Linked DNA regions of Drosophila melanogaster. The protein of the gene in region 4 interacts with the protein of the main gene of each other region in a pairwise test. Each region holds a gene or a part of one and is shown on either strand. Other genes may lie near its edges.

Region 1 (3,837 bases), on a different chromosome or scaffold from region 4:
AATATATGTATGTGCGATGCTCTATATTGGCCCCTCAAGCATTTACTTAATCTGTCAAGTTGAGTAAACAATGAAGCAAAATAGAAGGACAGATAAATACACTGAGATAATTTTATGACAATATCTTCGATTTAAATGGAAATCATGAAATCTTGCATTAAGTACTTTTCGCATTTGTATTTACTTTGGGAATTCTGATCCCAAGTAATGTAGCTGAAAGAACTTAAAATTCTCTTATACAGATGACTGTCCAACATCTTTATTGGATATAGATGTGTGCATACCCAATGCCTCTAGGAGTACAGGGTATTTATTCATATAAAAGAGCACAACTTAGAATGTAACTTAGAATGATGCTCGGTCAACGCGCGGGATGAGCGATAAAATCAAAGCACAGTATAACCAAAACAATTGTTCAAAAAGAAGAGCAATTTTTTCGGACAATGAAGAAAGCGCATAAGAAGTGTTTTGAAAAAAACAAAAGTTTAACTCCTTTAAAATCATTAAAACGCTTTTAGCGCTTTTCACGCCCCTGGCCAGCGAGAATTTCCACCCGTCTGGCAAAGCGCTGGAAAGTTTAGTTTCGGCTTTGTTACCGAAAAAACAGAAAGACAAAAAAAAAAAAAAGGAAAACTGTCGGCGATGATGGAAAAAGTGGCAAAGTTTTTCTCAAAGGCATCACTGGCGAAGTATAAGAATAAAATGACCGACCATGAGTGACCGGAGCAAAGCTCTATGGGCTAGTAGATACCCTAACCAGATGACTTTCTTGCGAATAGATTTTGTCACTTAAGTGCCAGCAATGTGGAGGGCAGCCGTTCCTCCAGCCATGACTCCTTGGCTTTCGTCCTCCAGAAATCCTTTGTCCTTGGCCACAGTTTGAATCAAAGTGTCTTGGTCGTTCGCCATTGAAGCGAATGCGTAGCCCATGCCAATTGTGCAATTGTTGGAAAATTTCTTCTTCAGGTTTTTGGTATCTTTTATTTTTTCTTACATTTTTTTTTTTCCTAAAAACTTTATCGGTGTGCCTTTCATTTTTTCTTAACCATTTTTCCCCATTTTTACGCTCTTTGCCAAACCGTTTCCATAGTTTTTTTTTGCGTTTTGGGTTTCGTCTTAAAAGGTGTTGGCCATTATGCGGTTGCAGATACCCTTTGATCGAATATTAAAGGCTAATGCACAGAAATGTTCGAACGAAATCGAAATCAAGTGTTTTCGCTAAAAGTTGGCAAAGGGGAAGTGGCATGAGTTCAATCAATTTGACGAACTTCAATCAAGCTGCGCCATAGAATGAAGAACGACGAGCATCGCTGATTTGGAATCCATGTGGATTCATGCCACATCCCATTTGGGATTCCGCTGAAGTTCTGTCGTCAAATGGCAGCAGTCTGCAGTCTGCAACTTTAAGCTAACTTGTGATAGGTATCCCGCACACGCGCTCAGTTTGAGTTCGGTCAACAATTGCCCGCACAGACAAATTGGGAAGGAGCGCTGACTATTTGATACATTGTAGGGACCAATGTCCTGGCCATTTGCAGTTGCACGGGCACCAGGTTACAGCGAATCGATTCCCTCATTCAATCCTATCCCGATTCACCAGTCAGTTGTTGCCACTAATGCCCTTTCGACGAACAATAGTTGTCGAAATGGGGAAAGGATAAAAATGCATTACCTTCAAATAAAAAGTTATGTATTAAATTGTGCTGGTTTCTGACAGAGGAATTGTAATCAGCGCTGAACTCTTTCCTTTCTTATTTTCGCTGTCCTTAATTTGCGTTCGATTATTAGCAGAAAATAAAATATAATATAATTTGCACGAATTGGATTACCCATTATTTCTCTCAGTGCCAGCTCCGTAGCGATAAGGCTGTCGAACTGAGCGCAGTTCGCTTTCGCACTGGTTAATCGTCAGTGGTCGGCTTGGCATATCAGACGAACTAACCGCATCACCGACTTGACTACTGACCCCAATCTAAGCCCCTTCGTCTAATCAGCCAACTGGCGGCGACAACAACGCAGTTTCTGCAATCAAAATCAGTTGGAGCCAGCTCCCTCTAAGATGATGATCGAGTGGTGGCTGCCATGGGTGTGCCTCTTGCCGCTCATGCAGGCGGATCCTGTTGCTCCCCAGCTGGATCTTGGTGTGAAGGACTTCCAGCTGGAGCTTCTGCGCGAGTTAAGCGACCTGGTGCAACAGCGGATTGAACCGAGTCTCAACGACTACCTGGATCGTCTAGGACGCATTCCTCGGAATGCCAACTACACCGAAGAGATGAGTGCAGCTCGCGCAACACCAAAGCTTCAATTGAAGGTGACGCTCATCAAGCAGCTGCTCGACGTGCGTCCGCACCTGGACACGGATATGGAGTACACCATTGTGCTGCGCAACCTGGTCTTTCTGAACCGAGTCAGATCCACGCTGAGGGCTGCCGAGGAGACTAGCACACAAGAGATCCGAATGATGCGCATGCACCGCCTCTGCCAGCAACTTGACCGACCGGCTCCTCATCGCGGCAGTCGCCTGATCAACGAACAGACAGTCGGGGCGGCATTGGGGCAACTCAATCTGACCAAAAAGGAGGTGAACTCCACCGGCTTGGATCTCAATGAGTTCGGGGCGCAGCTGTACGAGCGGGTCAAGTTATCCGGCGCCGAAATCATCGACAACTACCTGCACATACTGCGTTCCCTGCTGCAGGACATCATCGACGGTGACCATGCTGATCTGGCCGGGAGCAGTGCCAAGCTGGACAAGATGCAGCAGCAGCTGGACGTCATGCTTGCCACGGAGGACTTCTTCGAGAAACGTCAACGGGTGTATGCGTACCTGGAGCACCACTTGCGCACCGATTACGAGGAGATGCGGGACACATCGAGCAGCGAGCACATCACCGAACATCTTCTCGCCCAGCTGAAGACCAAGGGACTGGACCTGTTCGTCATCTTTCTTTTTAGCAATTTTGAATTCCTAGACCTGGTGCACGAGCACTGGGAGCAGCTGTTGCCACAGTCACCCAGTTTGCTATACGACGAGACCGCACGCCAATTGTACGATCTGCAGCAGCTGTATCAGGTCTTCAAGCTGGACACGGAGTGCGAGGCCAAGTACACGGCCTACTCGGACGCACTGCGTCGCTTGCACGAGCGGACCGTGGAGCAGGGTCAGCGCAACCGGCACATCTTTGAGCTGCTCCACAACGCGGCACAAAGCGTCGGCACGGTTACCTTCAACATGATCCGGGCCAAGTGCAATGAGCTAAGATGAGATGACATTTATAATAAAACCAAACTTTGCTACTTAAATGATGAGAGTTGCGTGCTTTTGGCTATATAGTTCCACATACTAATATCTTATATTGAAGACATCGCCTGTGCTGCAATTGACAGCGTTTGAAAGGACAAGTTTCACAACATAATTACATTTTGCCAGTTCCTGCGGTTGTCGCCTGCTTTTAATATCCGTCTGCCGCATCTGATTTCGCTTAAGTATCGTCCAGGAACACCTTTCCACATCTTCGGGGTGAGCGGACAGCAACTTCCTTTTGCCGCATTATGCAGATGTTGCCGTTAGTGTTGCTTCTCCTGGTGTTGCCACTGCTCGTTGTTTATCAGATGCTGCCAGGGCTCTAAGGATTCAACTCTTGCTCCTGCTTCAGCTCCAGCTGAAGCTGCAGCATCATGGCTCCCTTGTGGTACCGATGGGCCTTCAGACTAATGACTGCTGCTGCCGCTGTCGTTGGCCAAAGCCAGCTAATTAATTGTCGTCGTTGCAGGTGATTAGAACTTAAATGAGTTGCCGGTGCAGCAGAAGTTTCCGTGGCACAGTTAGCCGTCAAA
Region 2 (4,722 bases), 3.0 Mb from region 4:
GACTAAATCTAAATTTGTATTTTTGAGGGACTTTTTTGGATATTTTTTCGTTCTGATTAAGGAAAGAAAGTGAATTTTGTTTTGGGAAAGCATGAAGGATTGGGATATTAACAACGGTCTAATATTTCAGAACGGTTTCCCCTTTAAGTGAAGTTTGTGGGAATCCCTTGTGCGTTGACTAATTTCCGAGGAATTTCTGTGCATCCTTGGCCATCAATTTGTTGTCAGCAGCTGAGGAGGCGCCACATCAGCATCTCTGGCACTTGTTCCGCCATTTGAATCCGGTGCTCATCCTCTCCCAGTTGGCTGGTCCCTTCTCCTACTCTTTCCCCTTCCCTTTCCCTTGCCAGTGTCCTTGTTCTTGGCTAAGTCGGATCCTTTGAGTTGGGAGGAAATGCTATCATTTGGTGCCTGTCATCGTTGTGTTCGTTGTTGCTGCTGTCTGTTTGCCTGACGCCGACGAAAGGTTAAGGCATGCATCGCTTCCATCAAATTAGACGCATTTTCGACGCGCTTTGTCTGCCAGGCCCTCTCTATCTAGCTCAGTCGTCCGTCTCTTTCTCCCCAACTATGTCTGTCTCTCTCTTCCACACTTTTCCCTACACTTCCTTTACCCACTTTGGCAATTTTCTAGCTGACGCCGCTTTGCCTTTACGTTTTATCACTTCATTTGCACTGAAATGTCAATGTCTGGCTCGTTCCTTTCCCTTCCTTTTTCAATACCTTTGCACAGACTGTTCCCATTTTCACTTATTCAATGGGTTTTAATAAAAGTCCGGGGTGTTTTATACATTTTTTCTTATCTTAACCACATTTTTGCCAAATGCTACTTGGTATCAGAAACATTGACAAAATATGTCACCAATGGTGCAAACCTATAATGAAAGACTACAATTTTTAATGTCTATTCTGTTAAGATCCTTGATTTAAAATTATAAAATAAAACGGATTTAAAAGTGTACAATTTATAGTTTCAAGCTAAAAAATTGCATACTATATCAACTTGATTATAATTCATTTTTAAATGCAAAAGTAAAAGCAAATTAAAACACTTCCGATTTTATGTATGTAATGTATAAACTCACGAACAAAGATTTGTAAATTATATAATTAAAGGGAATATCTGATTTGTAAGAGCAATCCCAGCCTCGTCGGACGCCCAGTTCAGTTTCAAAGAGCATGGCCAAAAAAGTCAGGAAGGAAGCAGTTTTGTTGCAATGACGTGGGCGGTATTTTTTGTGGGTGGGCAATTGCTGAGTGTGGGTGTGTAGGAAGCATTGGATTGGATTGGATGGGAGGGGTTGTGTCCTGGCGCTAAAAGAAATCTGTCTGACAAATTACACGCCCCGAGTTGCAGAGTCGCAGCAGCAGCTGCTGAAACGCTTCGTTTGCTCCTCCTCCGTGACTTGCTCCTTCACTTTCGCCTGCTGTTTGCGTTGTCTTCCCGTGCTGCTTCTAGCTCCACATTCGGACTCAGGCCATCAAACCGATTGACTGAAGGATTGGGCCAGGGCACGTCATTCACTCAGTTAGTCCGTTAGTCAGCGAGTGCAACGGCCTTTTGATTGGGCTTTATGGTCATGGGGTGGCAGTGGCTATCTCCGCCTCCTTGTGCCTTTTAGTTGGTCTTGCGGGGAGGGGGTGTTCGGTTTTAGTGGACTTTACTTAGCTGGATGAGCTCATTCGCCGGGTTATCTGGTGTGAAGGGGGAACTACGGAGGCTAAAGGAACTTGAGTTTCATAGCTGAACAACATAGAGGGCTTCTATAAAAATTGTAAGTAGCTCATAGCTTTGGTTCTGAACCACTTGGTTAACTTTCTCATAATAAAATGGGAATTACTTACAATTAAATCAAGTTTACAAAATTCCACACCCCTAGGAGTAATGAGCCAATAACAAATAATTTCTGCTGCACTTTAATATGTATGCAGGATATTTATTAAGAAAATTACTTGTGGCCTTGGCATTTCTTTTCTTAAATTGGCATTTTTATTCTGCACATCTCACATAACGAATTAATCAACATGTCTCCGTAACAATTTCTGCATTTATTCTCAGCATAGCACTTCTCTGAATAACATTTACGACCATTCCAGCATTCCCTAATTTGTCAAATTTTGTTTCGTTTCCCCAAAATCCTTTCTGGTTTACTGCGGCTGCCGTCGATGGTCAGCCCTTCTCAGTTTCCACATCATCGGGCATCCTCGTTCCTCAACCCATCCCATCGCCTCGTAGGAAGACCAACCTCTTTCCCTCAACGCAAGACATTCAACAGTTACAAATTGCTATTCGCACAGAATTTCAGTTATCTGATAAATTTCAACGCACACAAACATTTGAACGTTGAAAATGGAAAACCCAAGCACAGAGCGAAAGTATTGCAAACCCTTCAAGTTAAACTATATTTATATTTAATTTAAGTTCAAAAACTAGAATTAGGATTATATTTATATGTAGATGAGGAGAGCTTATTTTTTATTTACTATATAGTACATACATATTTCTAATCACATTGGAGATAGATAGCACCCAATCGTTTTAGATGTGCACACAAGGCAACCCGTTCGATGCTCCTCGAGGCACATTTTGCTTACCACTTGAATATATTGTGTCATCTAGCCACTCATCCTTTCGAATCCGATAAAATGGCACACCACGCACTTTTCGGGGTTTTCAAAATATTTGGCAAGCGTTTCTGCAATTCCTCGGATTGCGACGCTAATGTTATTTTTCACTCTACGTCGGATTTATTTGTGATTCGACGGCGGCTGGTAGTAAAATTATTTGTTTATTTTCCTTGCGTTTTTGGCCGCTAATTTGGATTGGATGCAGGCAGCAGGAAAAGCCCCCGGGGGTTATCTATCACCCGCCCAACTTTTTCGCCACTCTCACCCTATTTGGTTTGAGTTTTTCGCGCACGTTCATCGAATTTGGTCTTTGGCGCTGGCGAAGTTTTTGTTTACTTTACCCTGGGTTTGCTCGTAGTTTGGTTTTATATTATTATTTTAGATTCAGATACAGTGACTGAACTGCACGTTCCGGTGTTGTTTTGCATACTGCGCGCCGCATTTGCCGGCGAATTTTGTTATGGTGCATGCGAGTTTTCCGATGCGAATTTTCCGATGCGAGTTTTCCGACTGCAGAGTCGCTCGGATCCACAATTGCGCTCGGTGCTCGGCTTTCAGGTTCGTCGCCCGATTGGCCTGATGCCTGATGCGTGTTGCGGTCTGCTGCCGTTTTCCCAGCTGCAATTTTCCTCAATTAACAGTTGGTCGGGAGAGCACGCGGTGAGGGAGACTCTCCCGCCGACACTTTCTCTCTTATACGAACTCTCACTTTCGTTGGCCAACAACAGTCGAATGTTAGCGCTTGCAGTTCTGTTGCCATTTTGGGCAAGTGCTTGTTGATTCTACTGGTGCCATTTAGAAGGATATAAGAACAAGGATTATCAAAGTATAATATTGAGATGTGTTGTCGCTATAGGTTAATCAAAACTACTTCCATGTGTTATCTATCTCATGCTAAAACAAGAAATTTTAAAAAGTTTTACCTTCCTTTGGTATCATGCTGTTATAAAAATTATTTCCAGTTATTTTGGACCTAAATTTAATTACTCTAAATTTAACATATATTAGCGAGCATATACCCTTATTTTATCAGATTTATAATTCCTTATAATTAAAATGTTCAAAATCGTTTATGGGATGGCTTACCGGCCGTATACGTAATGTGTTATTTATACTTTTACCAAATTCCAATAACACAAATGTGTTTGCATAACATATTATTTTCGGCACAATTGTTTCGTAGTTCAGGTATGGCACTGCATTTAAAATTATATCGGTATTGGGACAGTCAATGTTATAATTATAGTTGCAAATGTACGTGTATTAGCTTGAATTCGGAAAGGCTTTGATTGCTGATTGATTATTCTAGCCTTAATTGCATGCATTTTGCATACAGTTGTTTGCAATAATTGAAATCAGTAATGACATGGAAAGGAGGACAAGAAATGCATGCTCTCACAATTTACTTAGGATATGATATAGCAAGACTGTGCTATATCATATATATATTCTTAAAAACATTAAAAATATGTTCTTGCCTCGTTACCAAACATCACACTCGATATAAATCATTCATACATATTTTTTCCAAAGTTTACAAAGTTAGTTTGCAAATTTATCAGATATTTAAATTAAGTTTGGAAAGTGATTGCGTTTCAGATACCAATCTTTAGTTTCCTCCTACATTTTTTGGGTAAATAAATCATATCTCAGCACTGCCACCGTCTCAGAGCTCCAACTTAAGAAGCCCCAGGCGTCGAAATCTAATTGCCGTGCACTTGGAAAACTATCCACCTGGCCCAAACCCGGAGTTATCTCCCTTGCTCTGTTGGTCATTAGAAGAACAGGAAATTTTCCGTTTTTGTTCGCACCCAACTTGGAAAGAAATTTGCTGCAATAATTTCCATGTGGAGCCAGTTGATGTTTTCGTTTAGAAAAAAGTTCGACTTGGTTAGATGACAGTGAAAAAAAAGCTGGCAAACATATGGTAAGAGTTGGGGGATATCTAGAAGAAACTTTGGAAAGAGAGTGACACAGAAAATATGGCAACTGTCGACGTTCTTCGGAGTCAAACTTTAGTTTGGCCTTTTGAGCAAAACTTTTAATCCTTCTGGTTGAATTTCCGACAGTTTGCTTTAATCCTTTTCCGTTGGC
Region 3 (7,304 bases), 9.0 Mb from region 4:
TGTTCATGGGACTCCATGCTGCTTGATTCCAATTTCGGCTGCTGCTCCCGCATAATGGCCTTCATCTTCTCCATTTTCTCGGTCACCTCCTTTGCCATTTTGTACATGCGCAGAAAGGCGGACATGCAATCCTGCGGAGTATGCTTTTTGCAACGCACAAACTCATGCTCCAACTGGCTTAGGGCTTCTCTTGCCCTTTTACTTCGCAGCTTGGTGTACAGGTGCTGCATATTGGCCTCCATCCGGACGGGATCCAACAGATCCAACCCATGCAAATCACGCCGCATGCGGTGTTTCTTGTTCAACCGGAACTTAACCAGCATTTGCCGCATATGCTTCCTTCTCCTGTTTTTGCTATCCTCCATATCCTTGTTCATATCCTCGTCGAGCAATTTGAAGTGCAAAGTTTGAGGACTCACAATCAGGGCAGACTGATCCTCCTCAAAGGGCTGGTTGAAAAGCACCTGGTGCCTGGCATTCAGCGCTGCAATCTGCTGCACTTGATCTTTAAGTAATTTATTAGTTATTATTACTCTTATTATAACTCGTTAACGAACTTACCAATTTTCTCCACCACTAGCCCGTGGTAAACCAGAGAAAATAGCAACACGATGATGACCAGAATCGAGATGGCCACGATCCGTTTGCCGAATCCAATGCTCCACCAACGTCGCGGATGCCGAAGCAGCCTGGTGGCCTCCATCTCTAAAGAATTCCGTTTAAGAAGATTAGTGTAACGAAATTTCTTAACCAAGTTCAATTATGGATTTTTTGTAAGCCAATCGCTTAAGTATTAAACTGTTTACATACTTGTATGTTTATTGTCTTGTTCGCAGTTTTTATAAAAACTCAGTCTACATACTTTTATTTTCAACATACATAATTAAACACTTTTTATTATTTATTGTGGTCAGCACTTTCTGGCCTGTTCAGCACTTTTGCAATAATTTTTATAATAATGCTGATCCAAGTTCAAAATAAAATGGAACTTTCGACCATTTTATGGAATTCACTTTCTGGCTTAAAATGTTCACAGACGTGGGTGAAAATATTAATTGTTTTTGGCCTATTTTTTTTTTTGCCAACGAGTACGGAAGTTATTTTCAAGATTTCAAAGTAACACATACCATCCATGTTGTAATTCATTATTCATAAATTGATTTATCTTCTGGATTTTTCACTTAAGCTCTGGACATTTTTAACACATAAGCTTTTACGCCACAAAATCGCTGATTATTTCTTTCAATTATATGTTAAGCACTTTGTTAAATTGGCCGGGAAACAAGGAGCCTCAGGTTACAGCGATTCACTCAAACAAAAATCCACAAAAAGCAATCGCAAAGCAATTTGATATGCACGATAATCCAGAACGGTAATAATCACTACGATGACGACTTCCGCGCGATCCGGCCGGTAAAGAGCAACTGAATCCGACGGTGGTGAATGCGCCGCTTATAAGGGCTTCCGGAAAGTGGATCAGCGGGCAAACGACCCACATCCAGCGGCCACTGCTGCACTTTTCTGCTACGTTTCGAAGTTTATGGTTTTTTGGTTAATGAAAAGCGGCCCGGCAACTGCGGAGGTCAGCTGAAATGGCCGACGAAAAGTGCAAGTTGAAGGGGATTTTGGAATGGCAGAGCAACGAACCAGCCGCCCACCACCTATGAAACCAGAACTGTAAGCTAAGCAGGCCCAGCATTAATTCTCAACCCTGTGTCAGAAGTTTCCAAATCAGTTCTTTCCCTTTTTTTTTTTACAAATTTCGTAAAGCGCATAAAAATAAAAACATTTTTCCACACATCAAAGCTTTGACCACGAACACTATTTACCGAAAAATATAAATAAAAAACAAAAAGAAACGGTAGTAAAACAGAAAACACATGCATTCTACTTAGAAAATCAAATAAAATTGTTTATCAAAATTTTACCATCAGACAGAATGTAAGTAGCAGCAGCGCATGAAACGTGCAGGAATCGAGTGTCTTAGCCAGTTTTCCCATGAACCCACAGAACTTCATTAACAAAAATTGATGCGCAAGCAAAGAAAGTATATGCCCTCAAGATCCAGCCAGTCATTAGTCATTGGAGGAACCAGAAAACAAACACAAACACAAGGACCTTCCCACGGCATGCGCATAGAGTTCCTTAACATATTAACCTTTATCTCGAGATAACAAACATGATGTGGACCAGAACGACAATCGCACTGCGCAGAATTGCCAGGTCGCAAAGGTAAGTAACAAATAAACTCATTTCATTCAAAAAGGTATTAGTTACTCATACTCATACACCACCTTGAACGACTAATTATTGTGTAGGTGATATGTAGGTAAATGATGGTGATGAAAGATTAATAACAATAGTGGCCAGTTAACAATCAATAAACTGTGCATGAAAATAGCTTATGTTCTTTACACTTTCAACTTTTATTAAAGATAAATTCAGTTTTCGATCTATATCAAGCCAATTAAGGATTCAAATGGTCAAGAATATTTATGATGATTAAGAAATATGAGAATTTACTGAACAAGTGAAAATGGCACATTATTCTTAGCACAAAAATTATAATAGTTCGTTATATCTTCGATAATATGCACATATCGATGTGAAAAAATTAATGTATGTTATTCTTGTTTGTGTCATCTTAGTCTTCTACTCTAGATGATTCAAATGATAATACCTATTTCAGTATATTGAGATTAAACTTGGCGTCATCGCTGAGATCTTAGATCTTGTCCGCTCCTGGCGGTATTTTGATCAAGGACTGAGCTTCGTACAGCTCCTCCAGCAACTTACGGAATAGCTCGGGGCTGATGTTGTTGCCCACGCGCATCAGCACGAACCAGTCGCCAAAACTGCAATTGCGCAATGCCACCTGCAAGTGCTTCTTGGGCATGAAACGTGCCCTGGCACGAAGCAACTGAAGACGCATTCCGGGATACAAAACGGTGGCCAGGCGGTACAGAAACTTGAGGGAAATGAGCATAGCCACTAGTATAAACCATATCCACAGGAAGGCGAAGATTTTCTCGTTCAGTATATTCAGGGGCAGCAGGCAAAGGTAGTCGTATATGTTGGAAGAACCGCTGGGGCCGCCCTTGTACATCTCGCACTTGGCACACTTGGGGAAGACTGCCATGGTTATAATGTTCCACTGGTTATAGTCGCCATTGTAAAGGGACAGCAAGGCATTACGGTAGCGGCCCCAAAAACCTCCGAAAAATACGTCCAACAGAAGGAAGTTTAGAATCTGCGGGGTTGCAAATAATTACAATTTTTAGTAATATCGTAGATTATTGAATTACTAGTTTTGGTCACTCACACTGATGCTCAAATTGAGTATTTCGCAGAAGACGTAGCTAACGAAGTAGCGGAAGTGGGTCTCTTTGTAATCGCTGGAGAAGTAGTTGACTAGTACGCGCAAATGGGTCCTGCTCTTGTCCTTGCAAACGGCCATCTTGTGGAAATCATCGCACAAATGCTTCAGCCGACCGCCCTCCCAAATCTTCCAGAGAAATGCTGGCATATAAAACACAAACGACTCGAGCAGCAATACCAGCACGACCCACTGATAGTAGGTTATGTAGTTACGATTTTCCGGGGGCACTACCTTACTAACCGCATCTGAAATGAAGAATCCGTGCTGAACATGGGAATCTTTGAAGCATTTCCAAACTCACCTGGTCGGCACTGTGCAGCTCCATTCCTTAGGGGCGTCACAGTCACATTGTCGCTCACATAGGCCCCGTAGATCCAACAAAAGGCGTGCACGTAGTCCATATCCTTGTCCCCAAAACACTGGATGGGATCGCCGAAATATTGTTTCGAGGAAAGCAAAAATGTGCAGGCCAAAAGCAGGGCCACTGTGACTTTGGAGTGCAGCGTGAAAATAGCATCGTAGATGTGCACCGACTTGAACTGCAGATACTTGGAGAGCGGTTTAACAGCTGCGTACATGATGGCGTATTTATTTTATTTAATTTCGGGCGTAAAACAAAAATTTTGGGGCGGTTGTAAAGTTTGACGATTTAACTTGTACCAAAAGCACGCGGCATCATAACGGTTGATGTATACTATGGTTGTCTCTTTCTTACTCACGCCTGGGAACCTTACGTACAAACCGCAATTTCCAGCAGCCAGCTTTTGGCAGGCACTGATTTCGGCTGGAAAGAAGTCAGATTTGACGAGAAAATAGCGGGACTGCCAGCTCTGTTGGGGCTAAAAACTGTTTTTACCATCTGGTAACACTAGCACGTTGCACATGTTAAATCTTCGTGTTGACAAATTGAAATCTACTGAAAATCGAGTTAATTTAATAAAAGTTGCGTATTTTCGCCTGCAGCTTGAACGGTAAGCGCTCCAGGATGAAGGAACATATGTCCACCAAGCAGCACGAGCGCAACGAGAAGAAGAAAAAGAAGCTGGCGGCCCTGGCGAACCTGATGGAGCTCAACGATCGCGATCGATTGCACGAGGCAGAGTTGGCCAAAAAACGCGATGCAGAGGTCGAAGTGGAGGAGAAGTCAACAGCGAAGGCGGAGGACGGGGACGACGGTTTCATCGTGGTGGGCAGCAAACGCAAGCCGCGAAACCGTCGTCAAAACAACGAGCTGGAGGCGGATTCACAGACTGCCCCAGGAACATCAGATCCTGAAGAGCCGGTGAACAAGAAAATCCGCAATTACGATGCTGGTGGAGATAGCCTGCCGCTGGAGATTGGCTCGCTATCCGAGGATCAGTACAATCAGTTGTCGGCAGAGTTGAGGCGTCGCAAACGGGAGCTGGAGAACGTACCGGCCTTGCGACTGCGTGAGATGGGTCAGCGCGCCTCCCTGGAGACTCCGCAAGATGCTCGTACGCCCATCTTTCTAACCGACATCCAGAACCTGTTGATGTGCGCTCTCATTGGCCAGAAGAGCCCCTGCCGTCCGGATCGCTGGTGCAGCGTGGAGAAGTGGCTCAGTCTGTCGCACAGTGTGGTGGTCATTCTGGAGGGACTATCTCTCTACCACTATCTGTCTAACGAGACCCAGTTTGAGGCCACCAACAGGATATTCAGCACGAAGCTGGAGATGATACTTCCACCGCAGGAGGAGGGCCAGAAGATTATCGACGAGATAGCCAAGGTAGGGCTTCGTTGAAACTGTCTGTTTGCCTAATAATATATCCCTTGCTCTTGCAGATTCCTCTCACCAATGCGCAGGCACGCAGACTGATAGACGAGCACGGCTCCCTGGAGTCGGCTGTGGAGCTGAACAAAGATCCAACTTTGTTTGTAAAGACAATCTTTCCAATCGAAAGCTCTAAATCTGAGTCGGATGACATGCATGAGGATGACAAGTTCCCACGCACTAAGCTCCTGCTGTCAGCGCTGCAAATGGTCGACGAGGGCTATCCTATTCCATTGCAGGGCGAGCTACACACTCGTTTCCAAAACTTTAAGTTTACCAAGGATCTGTATGCACCGGTAACCAATCGCAGTCCTATGTTCGGCGTTGATTGTGAAATGTGTCACACGGAGGCGGGTTGTAACGAGCTAACCCGAATCTCTATTGTCAACGAAAATTACGAGACCGTTTATGAAACGCTAGTGTTGCCAAATAACCGGATCACCGACTATCTAACCCAATATTCGGGCATAACCGCAGAAATTATGGAGCAAGTGACCAAGAGGCTGGATGTTGTGCAAAAGGAAGTGTCCGAACTGCTGCCTCCAGATGCCATTCTGGTGGGGCAATCTCTAAATTCTGACTTGAACGCCATGAAAATGATGCACCCGTATGTAATTGACACCAGCGTGTGCTTTAACACATCTGGGGTGCGACGACGCAAGACCAAGCTGAAGGATCTGGCCAAAACCTTTTTACAGGAAATTATCCAGGAGAACATCGATGGTCACGATTCCATTGAGGATTCGCGAGCCACGCTGAAGCTCGTCAAGAAGAAGCTGGCAAACAGCATCGAGTTCGGAGACCAGATCCTCACGCAGCACAAGCAATTACAGGAGTTGGCGAACGCATCCAGCGGTGATACCATATCCAACAATCTGTTTGCACATGTGGCAAAGCGGGATAAGCGCACGGCCATTGTCACGGTCGGCGAGCTGCAGCCCCGTCTAAAGGAAGTGATCGAAAAGGCGGGAGAGGCAGCGCCCAAGGATCAAAGTACGTCGGTGCATGTCCACGAGGTATCTACGGCCAAGGAAGCCATTCGGAAGGTCAATGAAGTTGCACTGGAAAATGCCCTGACAATTGCCAACCTCCGCGTGCCAGAGCAGGACTTTATATTGGACAGTGCACAGCGGAGTGTTGCCAAACTGGACAAGACCATTGATCGCCTGTGGAAGTCAGTTGCGCACAACGGACTCTTCCTCGTCATCATGGGCGGATCCACAGAGTGCTCGAAGGGTGTAGCCAAAATAGCCATCAAGCGACTAAACGGATCGAATCAGACTATGGAAAGTTAGGGAGCTTTTAAGAACCTTACTTATGCTAACCGCCTCCATGGATACCCGCTCCCACTAAGGTCCTGAGTGTTGAAATCCAGCAGATAAATCAAATTTACCGTATCACACTGAAGACATGACCAACAGTTGCATTACCATACACCTGGGAAATGTCCTGCATGCATGAGTGCATCGATGAAAAATTGTAAAATTAAAAACAAATTCGATCAATAACGAATAATAAAATGTACATTTAATTTTTTTCACAAAATTCCATTGGCTTCTGCATAGTTGTATTAAATTAAATGAGCGGTAAAAATTATTATGGATTATTGTATAAAGAAAAAACTATACAAAAAACTAATTATTATTGATTCCATTTTAAAATTTTCTGAAAGGGTCAACATAATACATGGTTTATTGAACCGTAAAAACTGTTCGTGTCCGCAGGCAATTAGAAATAATTCCAGTATCCGTCCGATACATTTTCCGGATGGAGCATTCCAAACTGGCTGCTTGAATTTGACCCAGTTTCGTCTGGTTTGCATTGCCCGATATATGTGGCTGGTGGTGCTCGCTGGCCAGGCGGCTGTGTTGATAAGAGCCACAAATTTCCTACCTCCCTCAATGTGGTGCTCCGTTGTCTAGGGCCCGGCCCGAAAGCCCGAACTGGGCCTCCTCCCTAGAAGCGCCCACGCACTCTCGCTCTCCCTGGCTTTTTCATTTCCCTCTCTGTCGCTTTGGAAAGGGAAAGTCCCCGCAGCGGAGTATCTGTGTCTTATCACACGCTCGAAAATGTTGCGTCTTTTTTGGCTGAGTACTCATACGACCTGTAGGTCGTGCTCAAAGTTTCTATGCG
Region 4 (4,315 bases):
TAAAAATTGCTTAATCGCTATGTTTCCATATTTGCTTTTATTCTTGAAATCCATTGATTGTTTAATATGGTTTTTTTTTCTGTTCTTTACCTTGATGCTGTGTCCATTATGTACGATAGGATGCCGCGTCGCGCGAATTGGGACATTTGTATTTCGTTTCCGCTCATAAAAATGTGTGTATGTATATTTTTAAATATTAAATACCTAGTACATATGCTGTGTATATTGATAATCAGTTTCTGTTTGAGTTTCTTGTGTTATTGGTTTTATTCTTGTTTCTGTGTTGTGTGTTTCTTCTGCGTATAAATGTTTGGATTTGGAGAAGTCCCTGAACTCTTAATTGCTTGCCCACAGGCTGGGAATTGAGTTAGCCCGCATGCATATAACCTGTAGCTTATACGATCATCATCTTAGTTATCAAAGTAAAATTGAGTAGATAAAATCAGCGTAGGACCATTGTTTCAACTACCCTCGGTACATATAAACTTGTTAAATAATTGTTTTCTCAGTTGTTCGGTTTAGTTTCGAAACGTGTATAATTAGAATTAATAATAGTAATAATGTTGGAGAAATTAAAAGGCGGTGGCTCGCCGCCCTGGGCAGGAGTGGGAGGAAGAGATGACGCGACCCTGGCCTGGCTGCATTATGTGGTCTCGCCCTTGCCGCTGTCATCAGCGGATTCGGCATCGTCCGCTCCGGCGGCGGCCGCCTCTCTGACCAGCCCGTTGTTCTTGCACTTGCTGCTGCCTCCATTATTTTTGCTAATCGGCGCCGTGGCACTGTCCTCATCTTCATCCTCGTCCTCATCATCGTCGTCGTCCTCATCGAAGTCATCATCAGATGGCAGATCATCCTCCGTCTCCAGATCGAAATCATCATCGTAGAAGTTGGCATCCAGGCCAGACTCCGTTGTGGGCTTGCGCGTGGGCTTCAGGCAGTAGTCCTCCAGGGTCATCGGAACCACAATGCCCTCCCGCTTGGCCTCGGCATTGGCGGCCAGTGCCTGTTTTCGTATGATGTTTGGATACTCATTGTCCTTACCCTGAAATCAAGCAAGTCCTTATTAAAAAGCCAAGTGGCGTTTGTAAATGCCTAGTATGCGGACTTCAAGCTTTGAATAAGTTACATTGACTGTTCGTGTGAAAAGAGAACGTACTTACAATGTAATGAAGGAAATATGCACGTTCGAAGAACCAAAATCAAGGCATGTAATTAAAAGTGAATTACAATGTTGAATTACAAGTTCAAAAAAGAAGCATTGAAACTGACATTGATTGAAATCAAAGTTAATAAAACTAGTAAACTAGATCTGGGCTTTCGAACTGACTTAGATTGATCTTCGAGTAAAATGACTAGTCCATATTCCAAAGATAAGTTTTGCACTGCTTTCATTATTGAGAAGTCCGCATACTAGACATTTACTATGACTAGATGAGCCAGTCTAACCTGTGAGTCCCGCCATCGGCGGTACATGACCGAGGCGTCCACGTTGGCCGGCGAGAATGTGTTCGGCTCATTGAGCAGCGATATGACCGACAGCAGGATGGTGCGCACATTCTGCGTGGGATTCCAGCGTTCGCAGGGCAGCTCGCCACTCTGCGGATCATCCACCGGCGGATGTAGTATGGATATGCACAGATCACCGTTCTCGTAAACATTCGGATGCCAGACCTTCGTCAGGAAGCGTATGGATGGCGGTGAGTATGGATAGTCGTGCGGGAACTTCATGTGCGCCTTGAAGTAGCCGCCCTGGTAGAGGGTGTCCGGTGGCCCGAAGATTGCCACCTCCCATTCGAACAGATTGTCGTCGTTGATCAGCTTGACGCGGAATCCCTCCACCGGCTCTTCCTGCAGCGACTTGTACTCCATGGCCAGGGCGCGAACGGCCGAGCTGCTGGGCGTGGTTGTGGGGGCAGCGGCGGACGACGAGGTCGCCAAGGATCCAGAGCCCGCCATCATTGTGGAGGACGATGTCGCATGCTGCGATGTGGAGGCGGCGGTGGTCATTTGTTCAGCCACTTGCAGTTGTCGCCGTACTCTGTTGGTAAAGAAGTTTTCCAAATGCCGAGACATGTCAATATTTTGATTTAGGTATGTTTAAATGGAGTGTGTCAAATGGCTACTAGCAACGGCTACTAATTTCATGACCGGGAGTGTCTATGTGCAGGGTCAATATCTTGCTGCCTGCTGATGAATTCAAGGTGAGCACGTCACAAAAGCGATGACTGTGCGGCTGTTCGAAAATACTGGGCTGGGAAAACTGCGAAAATTTGGTCTAAACTCTAGTCTAGTTGTGCGGCGAAATTGCGGGAAATGTACATCTATATTTGTCAATTTTGAAAATGGGGAAAACTATTTTTGCTCTTGACGTTACTCTTGATTTTGTTGTTGTTACTTTCACAGCAGACAACACAAAATTAAATACCGATTTCCAAGTAAAAGTTGAGTGGAAAATTGATTTCCATATAGCAAAGCTGACAGCCCGTCAATACGTACTTGTGTGGGCAATTCTTTTTGACTTCTTGTACGCGCTTTTAATGATTTTTATTATTGTTGTTTGACTTGCAACAATTTCACTTTACAAAACAAAAACCAGGGTGACATTACTTGAACCAGGGATGGACAACCTGAGTCTGCCGCTGAGAAGGTGACGTTTGCGCATGTTTCTCGCCGCGCAGCATGAAGATGGCGTGTGACGTCACAAGTCTCGGCATTCCAGCGAGTTTTGAATTTAAAAGAAAACCTTACGATTTTGAATCGGCAAGCGATGAGTGTTCATTTGAATTAATATTAAGACGCTAAGGTTTGATGCTGCTGTTTTTTTTGGGAGTAGATTTTATAAAAGAATTTAGTTTATAGCTTTACAAATGATTTATTTAAGAAATACATTAGAGACTTATATATGTGGCTAAATAGCGTATTAGTATATTATCAAACGATTTTGAAATTTTCTCATACTTTCGTGAAATATTTATGAAAATATATGTTTAATAAGCAACTTTCTGCCTCCTGCATATCGTATGAAATAACTAATAATAACAGTTAGCAGTTAAGTAGATTTAATTTCATTGTGCATTTGTATAAACTTTGTTAAGCCAAGTTCCCTGATAAAAGTAGTAACATTATGTATTTATTCGTTTTTGGTATTGCATAAGTGCGTTAATTTTTTTTATATCTTTTTATCTTTGGCTTTGGCATTTTGAAACTTAACGAATGCTGGAACACCCCTACTATCACAGTACTTGTGCAGTATAATTTCTTGGTATATTCCGTTGGTATTTCGCAGCGAAGCGCTGAGCCTCAGGCATTCTGCAGCTACCGCTTGATGTCCACACTCCGTTTTCAATATACAGCGAAAAAAGTCGAGCGTGCGGGCGAGCGCAGCAAAATAATTAAACACTCCCCGAAATAACACAACTAAACTAGTGCTAAACTAACCGAAAGTGACGCCGAACGCCGCGTTCTCAACAAATCCAAGCGAAATGCGATAGGCGAGCGTTTAATTCAGTAAGCGAAGGGGCGCAAAAGGCATAGCAGCTCCGAGGCGTTGGCCAAAAAGAAGAAAAGCGCAAAAGAAACGGAGAAACGCAGTGTAAAAGAGAGACGCGAAGAAGAGAAGAGAAAAATGCATACAGCAGGAGTGGTGGCGATTTTTTAATCAAAGCTGGCTTTTCAAAGCTGCTCATTTTGGGCTAAAATCTGGGGCTGCGACGCGAGAGTAGGTGTCGAAAATAAAGTAAAAAATAATAAAAAATAATAAATAGTGAAAATCTGAAAGATATTTTCCGCATATTGGGCAGGCGAACAAATTAACATTCCAGTCAAGTGAACATGTTTGTGGCCAGCATAAAACCATAAAATCTGCCGAGCACATTTTCCTCTGCTCGCTGAAAAACTCGCCAGCACATACATACACGCACACACGCGCACGCAAAAGCACACAAACACAGGCAGGAAGGCAGGGAGGCAGGAAAATCGCGTGAAAAACCATGTCCAGCTGGGCAGAACGCGTCCATAGGCGCGCCGCGGATTTGGGCAACGTGGTGACCTCCTGCGGCCACCCAGCCACCGCTCCCGCCTACCCGTACCGCCTCGAAAAGGTCAAATTCGGTGTGCCGCTGGAGGAGGTGTGCAAGCACAACAACAACATTCCCGGGCCCCTGCTCGTCCTGATCCTCAAACTGAACAAGGAGTCACCGAACCGCCGCGATGTATTCCGCGCACCCGGCCACCAGGGCGCAATGAAGAAGCTCATCCACTTCCTGCAGGCCGGTCGGCTCGTCAACGTGGACAACTATTCGGTGTTCACCATCGC

The links.
Region 1: the proteins of CG7656 (region 4) and CG42369 interact in a two-hybrid assay, tested with the Drosophila melanogaster proteins (one large-scale study listed by BioGRID).
Region 2: the proteins of CG7656 (region 4) and AstC-R1 interact in a two-hybrid assay, tested with the Drosophila melanogaster proteins (one large-scale study listed by BioGRID).
Region 3: the proteins of CG7656 (region 4) and Rexo5 interact in a two-hybrid assay, tested with the Drosophila melanogaster proteins (one large-scale study listed by BioGRID).

The regions. Positions count from the first base shown.
Region 1 is NT_033779.5:6,395,316-6,399,152, reverse strand, and holds CG42369 (uncharacterized protein), read left to right. Parts: upstream 1-1,903; 5' UTR 1,904-2,059; coding exon 2,060-3,265; 3' UTR 3,266-3,300; downstream 3,301-3,837.
Region 2 is NT_037436.4:18,558,578-18,563,299, reverse strand, and holds the start of AstC-R1 (allatostatin C receptor 1), read right to left. Parts: upstream 3,043-4,722; 5' UTR 2,596-3,042; intron 1-2,595.
Region 3 is NT_037436.4:6,601,953-6,609,256, forward strand, and holds Rexo5 (RNA exonuclease 5), read left to right. Parts: upstream 1-1,731; 5' UTR 1,732-1,941; intron 1,942-2,010; 5' UTR 2,011-2,232; intron 2,233-2,413; exon of another isoform or gene 2,414-2,725; coding exon of another isoform or gene 2,726-3,250; intron 3,251-3,322; coding exon of another isoform or gene 3,323-3,624; intron 3,625-3,680; coding exon of another isoform or gene 3,681-3,957; exon of another isoform or gene 3,958-4,080; intron 4,081-4,226; exon of another isoform or gene 4,227-4,342; 5' UTR 4,343-4,364; coding exon 4,365-5,126; intron 5,127-5,182; coding exon 5,183-6,466; 3' UTR 6,467-6,787; downstream 6,788-7,304. Other genes in the region: ndl (nudel), read right to left, coding at 1-505, 562-705, 1,128-1,146; zpg (zero population growth), read right to left, coding at 2,726-3,250, 3,323-3,624, 3,681-3,957.
Region 4 is NT_037436.4:15,585,559-15,589,873, forward strand, and holds CG7656 (uncharacterized protein), read right to left. Parts: upstream 2,618-4,315; 5' UTR 2,497-2,617; intron 2,310-2,496; exon of another isoform or gene 2,039-2,309; 5' UTR 2,008-2,038; coding exon 1,447-2,007; intron 1,043-1,446; coding exon 644-1,042; 3' UTR 522-643; downstream 1-521. Other genes in the region: RhoGAP71E (Rho GTPase activating protein at 71E), read left to right, coding at 3,990-4,315.